2 linked regions of the Caenorhabditis elegans genome follow. The protein of the gene in region 1 interacts with the protein of each later gene in a pairwise test. Each region holds a gene or a part of one and is shown on either strand. Other genes may lie near its edges.

Evidence for each region. The genes of interacting proteins can lie anywhere in the genome.
Region 2: the proteins of scrm-8 (region 1) and calu-2 interact in a two-hybrid assay, tested with the Caenorhabditis elegans proteins (one large-scale study listed by BioGRID).

What each region holds. Positions count from the first base shown.
Region 1 is NC_003282.8:4,161,018-4,168,418, forward strand, and holds scrm-8 (Phospholipid scramblase), read left to right. Parts: upstream 1-3,674; 5' UTR 3,675-3,704; intron 3,705-3,758; 5' UTR 3,759-3,761; coding exon 3,762-3,980; intron 3,981-4,028; coding exon 4,029-4,388; intron 4,389-4,785; coding exon 4,786-4,972; intron 4,973-5,019; coding exon 5,020-5,159; 3' UTR 5,160-5,213; downstream 5,214-7,401. Other genes in the region: scrm-5 (Phospholipid scramblase), read left to right, coding at 1,505-1,729, 1,778-2,137, 3,023-3,209, 3,267-3,406.
Region 2 is NC_003279.8:6,755,695-6,762,485, reverse strand, and holds calu-2 (EF-hand domain-containing protein), read left to right. Parts: upstream 1-2,306; 5' UTR 2,307-2,318; coding exon 2,319-2,384; intron 2,385-2,434; coding exon 2,435-2,564; intron 2,565-2,629; coding exon 2,630-2,733; intron 2,734-3,063; coding exon 3,064-3,163; intron 3,164-3,331; coding exon 3,332-3,542; intron 3,543-3,998; coding exon 3,999-4,248; 3' UTR 4,249-4,305; downstream 4,306-6,791. Other genes in the region: Protein unc-87, read left to right, coding at 612-719; F08B6.1 (BPH_3 domain-containing protein), read right to left, coding at 1,134-1,232, 1,695-1,821, 1,948-2,054; gpc-2 (G protein gamma domain-containing protein), read right to left, coding at 4,479-4,578, 4,630-4,718; hrpf-1 (RRM domain-containing protein), read left to right, coding at 6,140-6,218, 6,261-6,390, 6,435-6,675, 6,723-6,791.

The sequences.
Region 1 (7,401 bases):
CCGTTTTTTGAGGTTACTACCTTTGAAAGTAATAACCTCACGATTAGAGACTAAATGATTAAAGGATTAAAGGTCGATCCGTTTTTCAAGCGTTGTGCACTGATTTTTTTGGTTTTTTGAGACCAAAAAAACCAAAAAATAAATTGCAACACTGATTCAGCAAAAAATTAAACAAATGAGAACAAAAAACCTTGTTCAATCGTTCGTGTGTTCAATTTTTAATATTTCATGAAAAATTCCTGTTTTGTCCCGTTTGATATCAAACCGTGAAATTTTTTTTGTTTTTTGTTTTTTTTAGTTTTTTTTTGTTGGTTTTTTTGAAAATTTCGATTTTTTGTTTCTTGTTTTTTGGTCCAAAGTTCGACCAAAAATTTTTTTGTTTTCTGGTCGAAGTTTGTTTTTGTAATACCTGGTGGTGATCCTACTGGGCGGTAATTTAAGCCACACCCAAGCTGGGGACTGTGGCCGTTTTATAACTTCAGTAACTGTTTGATAAGACAATAAATTTCGAGAGCAGGCTCCAGTAATCCTATGCCTCACTAACAGGGAATATACGTTAGCTATTTCAGAAAAATAGCACAATTCGAGCAGGCTATGGAAACCTCGATGCTGCTATCTACAACATGAAACTTGAGTACTCATATTCTGACAATACGCCAATCAAACTCCAAATTAGACAATACGCTGCGATGTAAGATAATGTTAGTGCTAGTTCATCAGAAAAATAACTTTTTTCAGCGATATTGACTACTGGCCACCATATGCTGACTAAATGCCAAGTTTTGCAATTCATTTGAATAAACATTTGAACATTCCAATAGCTTACACATTTCAACAGATAACACTTCAAAAGTTTTTTAGTCTGGGAGATTGATAAAAATTTGTTTCAAAGTAATTTTGCAGAAATTAAAATTCTGCCACACTATCCTGTATGGAAGAATTTACATGTCGATGTGCATTCTTCTAGTTGATAACTTTGAGACTCAGCGAACGCTTGACAAGTTATCACTGCTTGTTCAAGTACTGATTTCGAGCTCCAAATTTATTGTGCTGGTTGCCAGGAGCCACTGGTTTCAGGTTTCATGCTGCAAAGTCATCTTCAGTGTTTCACTGAAGATCCACAAAACGAATATATAGTTTGGCTGCTTAACCATTGAAAATCTATTAGTTTTTGTTCAGTACCGAAAATTCAGATCGGTGAATTCGAGAAAGTTTTGGAAGAGCTGCGGGATGTTTTTGTTCATAGTTTCTAGAAAATTTGGAGCCACGGGGTAAATAAATAAATTTTTAAATAAATTAGATAAGTTCAAACGTGAATATGAACTTTCTGCCCTTTCTGCCCTATCCCTTTTCCCCACGTATTCAATTTTCGAAACAACAAATAAAATCAATACTCCCTTCGATTGAAATTCATTCATTTTCGACTAGTGAACAACGATCTGATATGTGAGTTTTCTTATATCTGTCAGTGTTCCCCAAAAAACCCGCAAAATTTTTTCAGAAAATGAACAAACAACCGGGACAGCAACCATTGAGATCGCTTAGCTTGACGTCTGCGGCCAAGTCACCTGAGGAGGTTGAGCCGGAGCAGGATTCGAAGAAAGGAGAGCCACGTGCCAAGGCTGCAGGATTCGGAGGAGGTGGAGGTGGTGGAAAGAGACTCCCAGAGGCAAGATCTACGCCAATGGTCATTCCGAACCAGGTAGCAGCGATGCCGGTTCAGATGACTGTAAGTCATTCTAGCTAATAGTGATCGTTTTAACTTTTGACTTTTCAGGGCTTCGTCCAACTTGTCGCCAACAACATTCTCAGCGCCATTGCCCATACCAACTCTGTGATGGTTGTCCAATGCATCAAACCCCTCGAGATCTTCACCGGATTCGAAACTCCGAATCGCTACGTGGTCCATGACATGTACTGCCGCCCGCTGCTTTATTGTATGGAAAGATCGAACATCTTCGCTCGTCAGTACGAAGGAAACGATCGTAACTTCGGAATGCAGATCATGGATACCCACGGAGCTCAGGTGATGACGTGCTTCAGAGGAAGACCATGCTGCTCGACCGATGATTTTCTGAGCACCCAGTTCCTCGATCAGCAGATTGGGATGATGAAGAAGGAGTGCTGCAATCCTAATGTGAGTGCTAGTATCAAGTAAAACTACAGTAATCCAGAGCCCTGAAGCATTCTTTGGAAAAATCACATTTTTCTCAAAAGAGATCTTTTCGCTGATCTGAGTTTGCATCAATCTTGATCGAGCTTAGAGCCAGGGCTGTGCGGCAAATTTTGAAACTTGCAGTGCTCGGCAAACGGCAAATTTGCCGCACACCCCTGATGCCCTATCTATAGTCCGATCTATAATATATCTGTAACTTGGCACATAGCAACCTAGAGTCTTTCCGCTTTGCTCTGCCGCCCAGCCGCAAGACATTGATACACAAAAGAGAGCAAAGCGGAAGGACTGTAGGTTGCAATGTGCCAAGTTTGTACTGACATAGATATAGACTATAGGTTACTAGACTGTCCAAATGTCTTTCAGTATTAAGATGTTTATCTAGAAAGCCTATTACTTGGTACATAGACGTACAGGTTTCACGCCTTTGCTCTGCCGCCCAGCGGCTAGGCATTGACACACTAAAAGAGAGAAACACAGAGCAAGGCGGAAGGACCGTACGTCACCAATGTACCAAGTTACAGATATAAATTGCACTATACAATTGCACTATACGTAGATCTATAGATCTATATCTATATACCGCTGAACGGCAACATCGGGACTAGCATGACACCTTGTACAAGGGCAAACTCGGCAAATTTGCCGAGCTCAACTAACTCCGAAAAATTTGATGTTTTTTGAAGCACCAAAACTACTGAATTTTTAACGCGGCAAATTCGCCAAATTCGCCAAACTTGCCGCACACCCCTGATCAGAGCAATCGTTCCTATAGGCTGAAGCTTTATTAGCTCTTCACCTGAATCTCCCATCCTCCTTGAGACACATCCTATTAACCTTTTCTTTCAGTTCGAGCTCGTCGGATCCGGCTGCAACCAGCCCCTGCTCATCCAATCTCCAGGTTGTGCAGGCTGTGGTGGCACCCAGAAGTTCCCAGTGATGACCTTCAATGGTGTGCTCGTCGGAGAAATTGTCCGCCTCTACCCGGGATTCATGCAGGAGATGTTCACCGATGCGGACACCTATATTGTTCATTGTAAGCATTTTATTCTAAGCTTCTGATCTTTTCTATCTTAATTTTGGAATATTTCAGTCCCAATGGACATGCCGCCAATCTTGAAGCTTCTGCTTGTCACCTCGGTTTTCCTGATCGACTTCACCTACTTCGAGGATCGTAACCAGGATCAACATCGTAACGGCGGAATGCATAGCGGAATGCATAGCAGCTTCTAAACTTATAAAGGATCCTGTTCACAAATTCACTTGCAAACTAGAATAAACTAGTTTTTTCTGGCTTCTTCTTACTATACCTACTAGCTGATAATTTCTCAGCAAAAGATTGCGTTTTCTGGGCACAAATGACTTGTTAAAATTGCGATAACTAATACACGTGCAGCAGACAACAATTCCGCAGATAATTTCCTATTTTTTTCCAACAGAAATTTAAATCTGACGTGAAGTTCCACATAGTACAATCAGATCAGATTTTCAAAATTAATTTATTTCCGACTTGTGACCAACACTTTTCTATGTGAGTTTTCTTATTTCTCTTGGTTTTCCCTCAAAACCCGCATAATTTTTTCAGAAAATGAATATTCAACCGGGACAGCTACCATTGAAAGCAATTAGCTTAACGTCCGCGGTGAAGTCACCTGAGGAGGTTGAGCAGGATTCAAAGAAGGATGAGCCACGTGCCGAGGGAGCGGGGTTCGGTAGAAGAAACAATGCTGGAACGAAGCTGCCAGCGGCGAGATCGACGCCAATGAAAATTCCGAATCAGGTGGCAGCGATGCCGGTTCAGATGACTGTAAGTCATTCTAGCTAATGGTGACCGCTCTAAATTCTGACTTTTCAGGGCTTCGTTCAGCTTGCCAGCAACAACATCCTCAGCGCAATCGCCCATACCAACTCTCTGATGGTTGTCCAATGCATCGAACCGCTCGAGATCTTCACCGGATTCGAGACTCCAAATCGCTATGTGGTCCACGACATGTACTGTCGTCCGCTGCTTTATTGTATGGAAAGATCAAACGTCTTTGCTCGTCAGTACCACGGAAACAATCGTAACTTCGGAATGCAGATCATGGATACGCACGGAGCCCAGGTGATGACTTGCTTTCGAGGAAGACCATGCTGCTCATGCGATGATTTCCTGAGCACCCAGTTCCTCGATCAGCAGATTGGGATGATGAAGAGGGAGTGCTGTAATCCTAACGTGAGTTTTGGACGATAACCACCGCCAGTAATAACTACAGTACTACATTAAACTACAGTACCCTAACATTTATAGAGGCATGAGAATATAGGAAACATTTTAACAATACATTGTGAACAGTCCTAAAGTGGTGTCAGGCTGTCTCATACCGGTACGATCTACAAAAAATGCGGGTGTTTTCCGCCCAGAAAAGTGTGCCAAAACTGTGCGTCTCAATATTGTAGATCATATGGGACATCATGATACCCCGATAAAACCACAATGCCACGTCCTATGCCGATCATTTTGTGAAAGTAGGGTTGTTAGTCGATGATCTAGGGATCTAAATTGTTCCGAGCTATCACAAGGGAATTCTTATACCTAACACCTTTCATTTGCTAGTCCTAGATTCTTTTAGTTCGAGCTCATCGGATCCGGCTGCAACCAGCCCCTGCTCATCCAATCTCCAGTTTGTGCTGGCTGTGGTGGTACTCAGAAATTTCCAGTTATGACCTACAATGGCGCACTCGTCGGAGAAATCGTCCGCCTCTACCCGGGATTCATGCAGGAGATGTTCACCGATGCGGACACCTATATTGTTCATTGTAAGTTCTTAAGATCCGAATTCTATCTGAATTCCGATATATTTCAGTTCCAATGGACATGCCGCCAATCTTGAAGCTTCTGCTCGTCACCTCGGTTTTCTTGATCGACTTCACCTACTTTGAGGATCGTAACCAGGATCGTCATCATCATGGTGGGATGCATGGCGGAATGCATAGCAGCTTTTGAATTTTTTATGAGCCCATTTCACTTGCAAACTAGAATAAACTAGTTTTTTCTCCACAGTTTTATAGCTAGCTTTTCTGTAATTACAAGCTCACTTTTTTCAGAAGATAATTCTGTTTTTTGGGCACAAGTGCTTAGATTTTTCCCGTACATCCCAAGAAGTAGTTGATTTTTATTTAAAAAAAAAGCTTTGTAATCTGGATGAAAATTCAAATTTTCAACGTGACCCCTTTTCCACCCCTCACGTAACATCTTCTCCCAACATAATCTCCCATTCCTACTATTGTTCATCGTCATCGAATGTGAGTTTTCTATCGCTTCTTTCTGGGACCCCAAAACCTTCCAACTTTTCCAGAAACCAATAAAAATGAATAAACAACCCGGAGAGCAGCCAGTCAGCTGTGCGACTTCAACTGAGAAATCCGAAAAGGAGCCACCGAAGAGCCGAGCGGAAGCTGGAATGATGCGTGGCGGCGGGAGACTTCCACAGCCACGGGATACTCCGATGGAGGTGCCGAATATGGTCGCAGCAATGCCGGTTCAGATGACGGTGAGTAACCTTACGACGCGTTGCGTGTCGCGTTGCGTGTCGCGTTGCGTGTCGCGTTGCGTGTCGTGTCGCGTTGCGTGTCGCGTTGCGTGTCGAGTTGCGTGTCGCGTTGCGTGTCGCGTCGAGTCGAGTGTCGCGTCGAGTGTCGCGTCGAGTGTCGCGTCGAGTGTCGCGTCGAGTGTCGCGTCGAGTGTCGCGTCGCGTGTCGCGTTGCGTGTCGCGTCGAGTGTCGCGTCGCGTGTCGCGTTGCATGTCGCGTTGCGTGTCGCGTTGCGTGTCGCGTCGCGTGTCGCGTTGCGTGTCGCGTTGCGTGTCGCGTTGCGTGTCGCGTTGCGTGTCGCGATGCGTGTCGCGTTGCGTGTCGCGTTGCGTGTCGCGTTGCGTGTCGCGTTGCGTGTCGCGTTGCGTGTCGCGTTGCGTGTCGCGTTGCGTGTCGCGTTGCGTGTCGCGTTGCGTGTCGCGTTGCGTGTCGCGTTGCGTGTCGCGTTGCGTGTCGCGGTGCGTCTCGCGTTGCGTGTCGCGTTGTGTGTCGCGTTGCGTGTCGCGTTGCGTATCGCGTTGCGTATCGCGTTGCGTGTCGCGTTGCGTGTCGCGTCGCGGTTCTTTGATGTGGAGTACAGGTTTTTCCCCACCTGCAGTCCGTGGCGATTGTCGATGGAGCGCAAAAATCGCTGCGAGGAAGAAGCCCGTGTACTATCATTGCATATTGTTTGTTTGTTTTTTAGTGACGTCATACCCAAAAACTGGGACATATGACGTCACCACTTGTAGTCGGGGCCTGTCGAGTGACGTCATCGTTAATCTTTTTTGAAAACCGATCAGATGAATGGCTATTGTGAAAACTTTTGGCGGAAAATTGAAAATTTCTGCAAATTTTTTTTGGCGGGTAATTCAAATTTTTGAGAAAAATATTTTGGGGGAAAATCACATCTTCTGGAGCATTTTTTGGCGGGAAATTTGAAACATTTGAGAAAATTTTTTGGCGGGAAATTTAAAATCCTCAATCTAAACCAACATTATTCCAGGGATTCGTGGACCTCGCCCCTCACACCATACTCGACGTCCTGGCTCAAACCACCTCCCTTATGATTGTCCAATGCCTTGAACCACTCGAGATCTTCACCGGAATCGAGACCCCCAATCGCTACGTGGTCCACGATATGTACTGCCGTCCGCTGCTCTATTGTATGGAAAGATCCAGTTTCTTTGCTCGCCAACATCAAGGATCCCACCGCAACTTTGCTATGCAGTGCATGGATATTTTCGGGGCTCCTGTGATGAATTGCTTCAGAAGTCGACCGTGTTGCTCGTGTGATGACTTTCACACCAGAGGTTTCGATTGCAATGAAGAAATGGACGAGAAGTACGACGTGCACTTTGGAGACAGCCGTTGGTGAGTGTTTAGAGATTGGGGTGGAGTACGCGTTACCACGCGATCAGGGAGCCACCGTCTCAGCACGGGTACATAAAGCTAACCATCATGAGGCCATTATCAATAATTTATTGTTCCAAAATGTAATTATTACCCAAAAGCATGAGGATAACGATCACCTGCGTCGTTTTCTCCTCGATACTCGTGGACTTCCGCCAGTAGTTGAAGCATCAGCTCTGAGAGCCTATGCAGCGATCATTGGAGGACCAAAGGTTACCGATGCGGAAATCGATAACGATCGTACGATCATCACGTTCGGAGAC
Region 2 (6,791 bases), on another chromosome or scaffold:
CTTTCGACAAAAATTTTTTCGAGGATTTTTTGACAAACCAAAAAAAATTTTTTTTTGAACCAATTTTTTCTTAAATTTTTATTGTATTTTTACATTGTATACTTAATTAATCAAAATCCGCACATAAGTCTCAATTGAAAGTTACAAAGAAGCGAGATCAGGCATACGCCTGAAAAAAGTGTCTCCGAGCTGGGATACATGGAGTGGTCAAAACTTTTTGAAAGTACCGTCAAATGAAAGACCATGTTTGATCACATAAATTCCCACATTTTCAGAAAAATCGATTCGCCACGAAAAAAGTTATGAATTTTGACCCGGAACTTATTGACACCCCTAATAGAAACCTAAAATGGTAGAAAAACCGTTACTGTATTATTCAAAGGCGCATACCTTTTTGCAAACATTTTTGCGCGGCCTCGATTTTCAAAATATTTCGATCGTGGCGAGAGCAGGTACCGTATTATCAAATTATGTGCAAGTTGATTTTAAAAAAACATATAAATACATTCTAAAAAGAAGAAAAATGACCAAACTTTTAAGTTTAAAACTACGATTTCCTTTAAAAAAAAACAAATTATTGAAACAAATTCTAATTTTTCATAATTTTTCAGAAGATGACATCATTCGGAGCACCACGTGACGTTAAGGGCAAGCACTTGAAGAGAATCTGGGAGCTTGAATACCCAGAAGAGGCTGAAATCTCTTTGGATCGTCTCTAAATCATTTTTCTCCGTGTTTTTTTTTCTTTCGTAAATTACATGATACCTGTGCATAATTTGCTTCAACTTCTTCTCCAAATGTTTCTTCTTATTCTTCAAAAAAAACTACTTTTTTGTTTGTTCTCCATCCCATTTCCCTGCTTTCCTTCCTATTCTTTTCACACCCAAACAAGTTCATCATATAAATTTGAAATTTTTCGATTGTTTTCTTTTTTGCGTAAGTTGCAGCCAAAAATGAGCAATTTTAGCGAAGAATTATTCTTGTTATTTTAAACCACTTGCATTTAGTTTTCTAAATGAAATTCACAGAGATGCGACAAGCCATAGATTTACTTAAAAATATATGTTTATTCTATGAAAACCCGTACGGAACTTTCAGGCAATATACTAAAAATTTAACAAAAAATTAAAAAATTAGTTCGTGTTCAGGGCGTTCAGTTTTTCCATCATATTGTCATTGAGAGCCTTCCAGAATAGACCTTCTTCGCATTCGATGTCTGTTGTGAAGAATACCTGCAAATATTTTAATGAATACATTATTTGATTTCTCGATTTTTAAGCCAAAGGTTATTTTTTACAAAAAAAGGTTTTTAAAAATGTGTGGAGTTTTGTTCTTTTCATATAATTTATTTTTCATTACCGCGGAAGTAGTCACACCCATTTAAGCAAAAGTGGCCTTATTTTAATTTTCGAAAAAAATTATTTTCAGCGAAAATTTTGTTACGAAAATTATTTTCTGCCTAAAAATTATAATTGCGACATGATCATCAATTATAACTTTTTGTTCATAATTTCCAAGCTAATATTACACAATATTTGAGAAAATACTTGAAATACGGAATTTTTTAGAATAAATTCAATCTCTCAAAAACAAAATGTTGTTTTTTTTTGGTTTTTCTGGTTGCATCGGTTTCAGATAAAAATGAGAATTTCCTCGAGTTTTTTATTTCGAAATGAACGTTTTTTCAAAAATACCTGTGTGAATCTCGATGTTTTTGTTAACCGAAGAGTAGTTGATTTAATGAATTCTCGTTGCGTATTCTCTCCATCGACGAGCATTGTGAAGTTTGGAAAATGTGCAAGCCCGATTGAATCGATTTTACTGAAAACTAACATTTTTAAACAAACTGTTCATTTTTGACTATGGTTTTTTATCAAATAGCTTGATTTCATAATTGAAACGAATAGCTTTATTTTTTAAAAGATGAATAAAAAAAATTTAAAATACCTTTCTCCAACCCAAATCCATGCACTTTCTGTTGAATAAAGAACATATCCGTTGAGATCTCGATTGCATATCTTTTCGGAAAACTCTATTCTTTGAATTGGTGACATTTTCGGGTAGAAATTTCTGAAGAACAAGAAGATTTTAAAATTGAATCCAACTGGAAAACGCGCCGAAGGAAAAAAATCGATGTTCGAGAGGAGTACACGAGATAGCTCGGCCATGTGGAAACTAGTCCACGAGGTGCCTTTTTAGCAAATATTGGAAAAATGGATTTTTCTTAATTATGAAGAATTTTAAGTCTGTTTTAATAGATTTCATCGAAAAAACATTCAATTATTATCCCAAAACAAAAATTCCAGATTTTCTTACAAATGCGGTTTAAGCAATGCATAATATTCTCCATCATTGTATCGATTTTCGCAGAAAAAGAGCGGATGGTTCGATTTTTCAATTCAAAATCTTAAAATTTATAAAAACTGTTTTACAGATGGATGGTTCTGTTTCCCCGTCAGATCATAAAAAGCCAGCTTCTGAGCAGAAATTAAACTTAAAATCTGGCCAAGAAAGCGTAGAAAAATTTGCGAAAGCTTTGGATACAAATAATGATGGTTTTGTAGGTAATATTTAGACTTTCTATAATATAAGAATAGAAAATCCAATATATGTACCAATGATGTTTCAGATAAAAGTGAAATTCTTGCATGGGTATCCGAATCATATCAGAAAACTGTTGATAGAGAAGCAGTAGAGAGAATTAGTGAGCTTGATGAGAACGCTGATGGATTTGTGAGTTTTTCTAATTATAAGAAATATTTAAAATTTTGCACTTTACTTTTTTTTTTAGCTTTTAACATGACTCTAATCTTTTAAAATCTACTTCCAAATTTTATCTACTTCCAAAATGTGTTCTGAGAGTTGAATTGTTTCGAATTTATTAATGCAAAAGTTTATTGAATGTAATTTTTTCTTAATTCATAACTTGAGTATTTGTATATATATATATATTTTTTTTTTTTTAGTTATATTTCAAAAATACGCTTTTTTCTCTCGTAGATAGGAAACATGTGAGGTATCAAACCACCCGGTGTGAGAAAAATGTAAATTTGTATATTGTAGGTATCGTGGGAAGAATACTTGGCCGATTCATTTCCTGACGAAGAGTTACATAACAAGGAAGAAGAATCACTTATTGCACAGGATAAAATGTATTTCAAACGTATGTTTCGGAGTTTAAATAGTTTGAGAATTAACGTAGCTATAAAAAACTTAAAATGAAACGCCGACACTACGTTTTTAATCTTTCATGTGCTATTGAAAACTTTGGATTTTGGCTTTTTTTCTGAAATAAATGAGAAAATGCAACATCAAAATTAGAAAATTTCAGAAGCTGACGAAGACAATGATGGAAAATTAAATCTGGAAGAACTGGCAAGTTTTCTTAACCCGGAGCATCATCCACATATGCATCCGGTTCTAATTGCTGTAACGCTGCTAGAAAAAGACCAGAATGGAGATGGAGCGATCGAAGAGAAGGAATTTTTGGGAGAACTTGATGAACAAAGAGGCAGTGAATGGTATAAAGTTGAGGTGGAGAGGTGAGTTATTGCTTTTAATGTTAAGATTTTGGGATTTTAAAATAAATAAAAAAGATTGAAAACCAAGAAACGGGAAAACAATAAAATAACAATTTTATAGAAAATCAATATGAGAGCACGGTATACTTTAAAGGGACATGACTAATAAAGCATAATGGTCTCGCAGGGATCGTGAACAAATTACTGTAGAAGGCGCATATTTCTTTATTTAATATTTTGCGGATTCAAAACTGAAAATATTTGAGAAACATGTGTTTAAGAAAATTTAGAACTTTAGAAAATACAATTATTTGAAATAATACGGTTTTATAAATAGGCTAACTCATTTTTCAATATATAAATACTTTCGAATCAATATTTATTTAAAATATATTTTAAAATAATATATTTCTAAACTATTCTGCTTCGGAGAAAAGTCGTTCAATTTTTTTTTTCCTAATTTGTGTCCATTTTTAGATTCCGTACAGTTTATGACAAAAACAAAGACGGAAAACTGGCCGGCGACGAGCTGACCGATTGGCTTCTCGTTGATGGAACAACAGCTGGATCTTATGAAGCTGAAAGTCTTCTAACAAATTCAGATGATGATAAAGATGGACAATTGTCTTATGAAGAAATTGTGAAGCATCATGCTCTTTTTGCCAAAACTGAAGCTGCTCAAGAAGCCGATCATCTGCACCCATATTATTCTCATGACGAGTTGTAATTATGTAGATCTCTGAATCGAAGTTAATTGAACAAATGATAAATTATTTACAATTGTATATATCTGAATAGTTTATTCACAGTAGTTTGCTTTCATTTTACAAAAAATTGGAAGAATGCGAAAATTGGATCATATAAATAGGACGAATAGTAAAGACAAAATCGGCGTTTGGATTAGTATTATGGATGACAAAAGTGAGGTTTGAAAGCGATGGTGGATGAATAAATGATTTAGAGCATGCTGCACTTGCTCTTCTCAGCCCATGGGTTAACCTTCTTGTCGATTGGGTTCACAAGTGGATCTTCTTGGCTTTCGGTGAAGCGACGAAGTCTGAAAGAAACAAAATTTTGAAAGTTGGGCATTCTGATCTCGTTAACTTACTCGGCTGCCGAAACAGTGATCGGAGTACGCTCAATATTGAGCTGGCTGCGAAGCGAGTCGACGGTTCGTTGCATGTCAGATTTATCCATCTTGTCTGAAACATTTCTTTATTGAATCGGAAATGAGAATCGTTTGAAAAAGAGTATTTGAAAGCCAAATTATACGAATTATTGCGAATACCATGGAGAACGAATAGTATTCAGAAAGTTATGAGAAACGGGTAGTTGCAAGTGTACGTTATAAATTAAACTTGTTAAGAACATTCAAAATTGGCCTATAAATAAGTTCGACTGACATTATTTAACTTGAAAAAAAGAGGTTTTTGGTAAAAGCAAAGGTTTAAATTAGGTTGAATTAACTGAAAAACAGTCGAATCATGGATTTTATTCAATTGAAAACCGAAGTTTCTGACTATACATTGACAATATCAGTCGAATTGGAAAAAATGAGTACTATAAAAGGAGTAGCAGAGCAGAGCAAAGACAGAAATGAGAGAAGAAGTGAGCACCAGCGGGACCCTGCCAGTCTTTTCTCTGCGCTCCTCCTCGCTTTGTGCTTCGCATTTGAAAATCAATACTTGAAAGAGTGTAGTGAAAATGGAGACATTGTAGAGGGCAGAGTGCTGCTGCTGCTGTTTCGATTGGCACACACACTCTCGCTCTGGCGCATACATTTACGCGAGACAACCTCACACACAAGCCCTACGAAGGAAAATTGAGAAGACGAAGAAGACATGGAAATTGAAGTGAGAATATATGGAAGATGACGGAAATGGAGGGGAATGAAGACATTAATTGGTGTTATATTTTCAAAGTGTGGAGCTTATATACAAAGGACAGACAGAAAATCATGGCACTATATTCGGAAAAAGATTTATGTATATTAAAGTTCACTGTGAGAAATTAAATTATTAAGCCAGCATTTTAGATTTTTTTCGTTATCGACAAGTCAATTGACAGATCTTTGAAAAACCGTGAATATATCCTGCAGTTCTAAAACAAAATGAGACTTTCATCGCCCAAAAAATTAAAACTTCATTTAAATAGCCAACCATCAGTTTTACAATTGTAAGATGCTGCTAGACAGAGAACAGCTTTTCTTACTCGTTGGAGATGCAAAGCATTTTCAGACCAAATAAACTCACTGTTTGCATTTAATGGAAGATGAGAAAATAAGTGAAAATTTTGTTCAAAAATACATTGTAAAAGAATAAGAAAACGGTGGTACATAGAGCCTCGAAACAAAAGAAAAATTAATATTAAAATGCATCATTTATTGTTCGTAGTACGGTAAACAATCGGTGTTTGCGACCACTGCAACGGACGCTACGCGCAAATGCACGGCCGAGAGTTTAAATCGAAAAATATTTTTTGTTTTGTTACTTTGTTTTCTTTCGGTTTTTATGTGAAAATTGTATTAGTTTTTTGTAATTTTTGCCACAAAAACGTATATTTGATCTCGACGGATAAAAAAGAACAGAATCAGAAAAATCCGTTTTTGTCTTTCAGAAATGTCTACTGCGTATGAAGTTCAATGTCGTGGATTACCATGGGAGGCCACTGAACAGGAGCTAAGAGATTTTTTCGGAAGTGAGTGGTGTTTTAAATCGTTATAAAAAAATCTTCTTCAAGATAATGGAATCGAAAGCTTGGAAATTCCAAGGAGAAACGGTCGAACCAGCGGTGATGCGAAAGTGGTTTTTACCAATGAAGAAGACTACAACAATGCTTTGAAAAAAGACCGAGAGCACTTGGGAAGCAGGTTTGACTTTCAAATATTTCTTTTAACGAATTAACTGTTTGCAGATACATCGAGGTTTTTCCTGCGGGTGGAGCACCAACAAGGCGTGGAGATCGAGGTGAACGTGGAGATCGTGGAGATCGTGACCATTATCGTTCACGCGGAGCACCTCCAAGAGATCGATATTCCGATCGTGGAGGACCACGGAGTAGCGGGCCGGACTCAATTGTGAGGCTTAGAGGATTGCCATTCTCAGTTACGAGCCGAGATATCAGTGATTTTTTAGCCCCATTGCCAATAGTTCGGGTGAGTAATACTACAAAAGTCTTGTTTGATTTCTTGAAATATTTCAGGATGGAATACTTCTTCCTGATCAGCAACGTGCTCGTCCAGGTGGAGAAGCCTACGTGTGCTTTGAAACA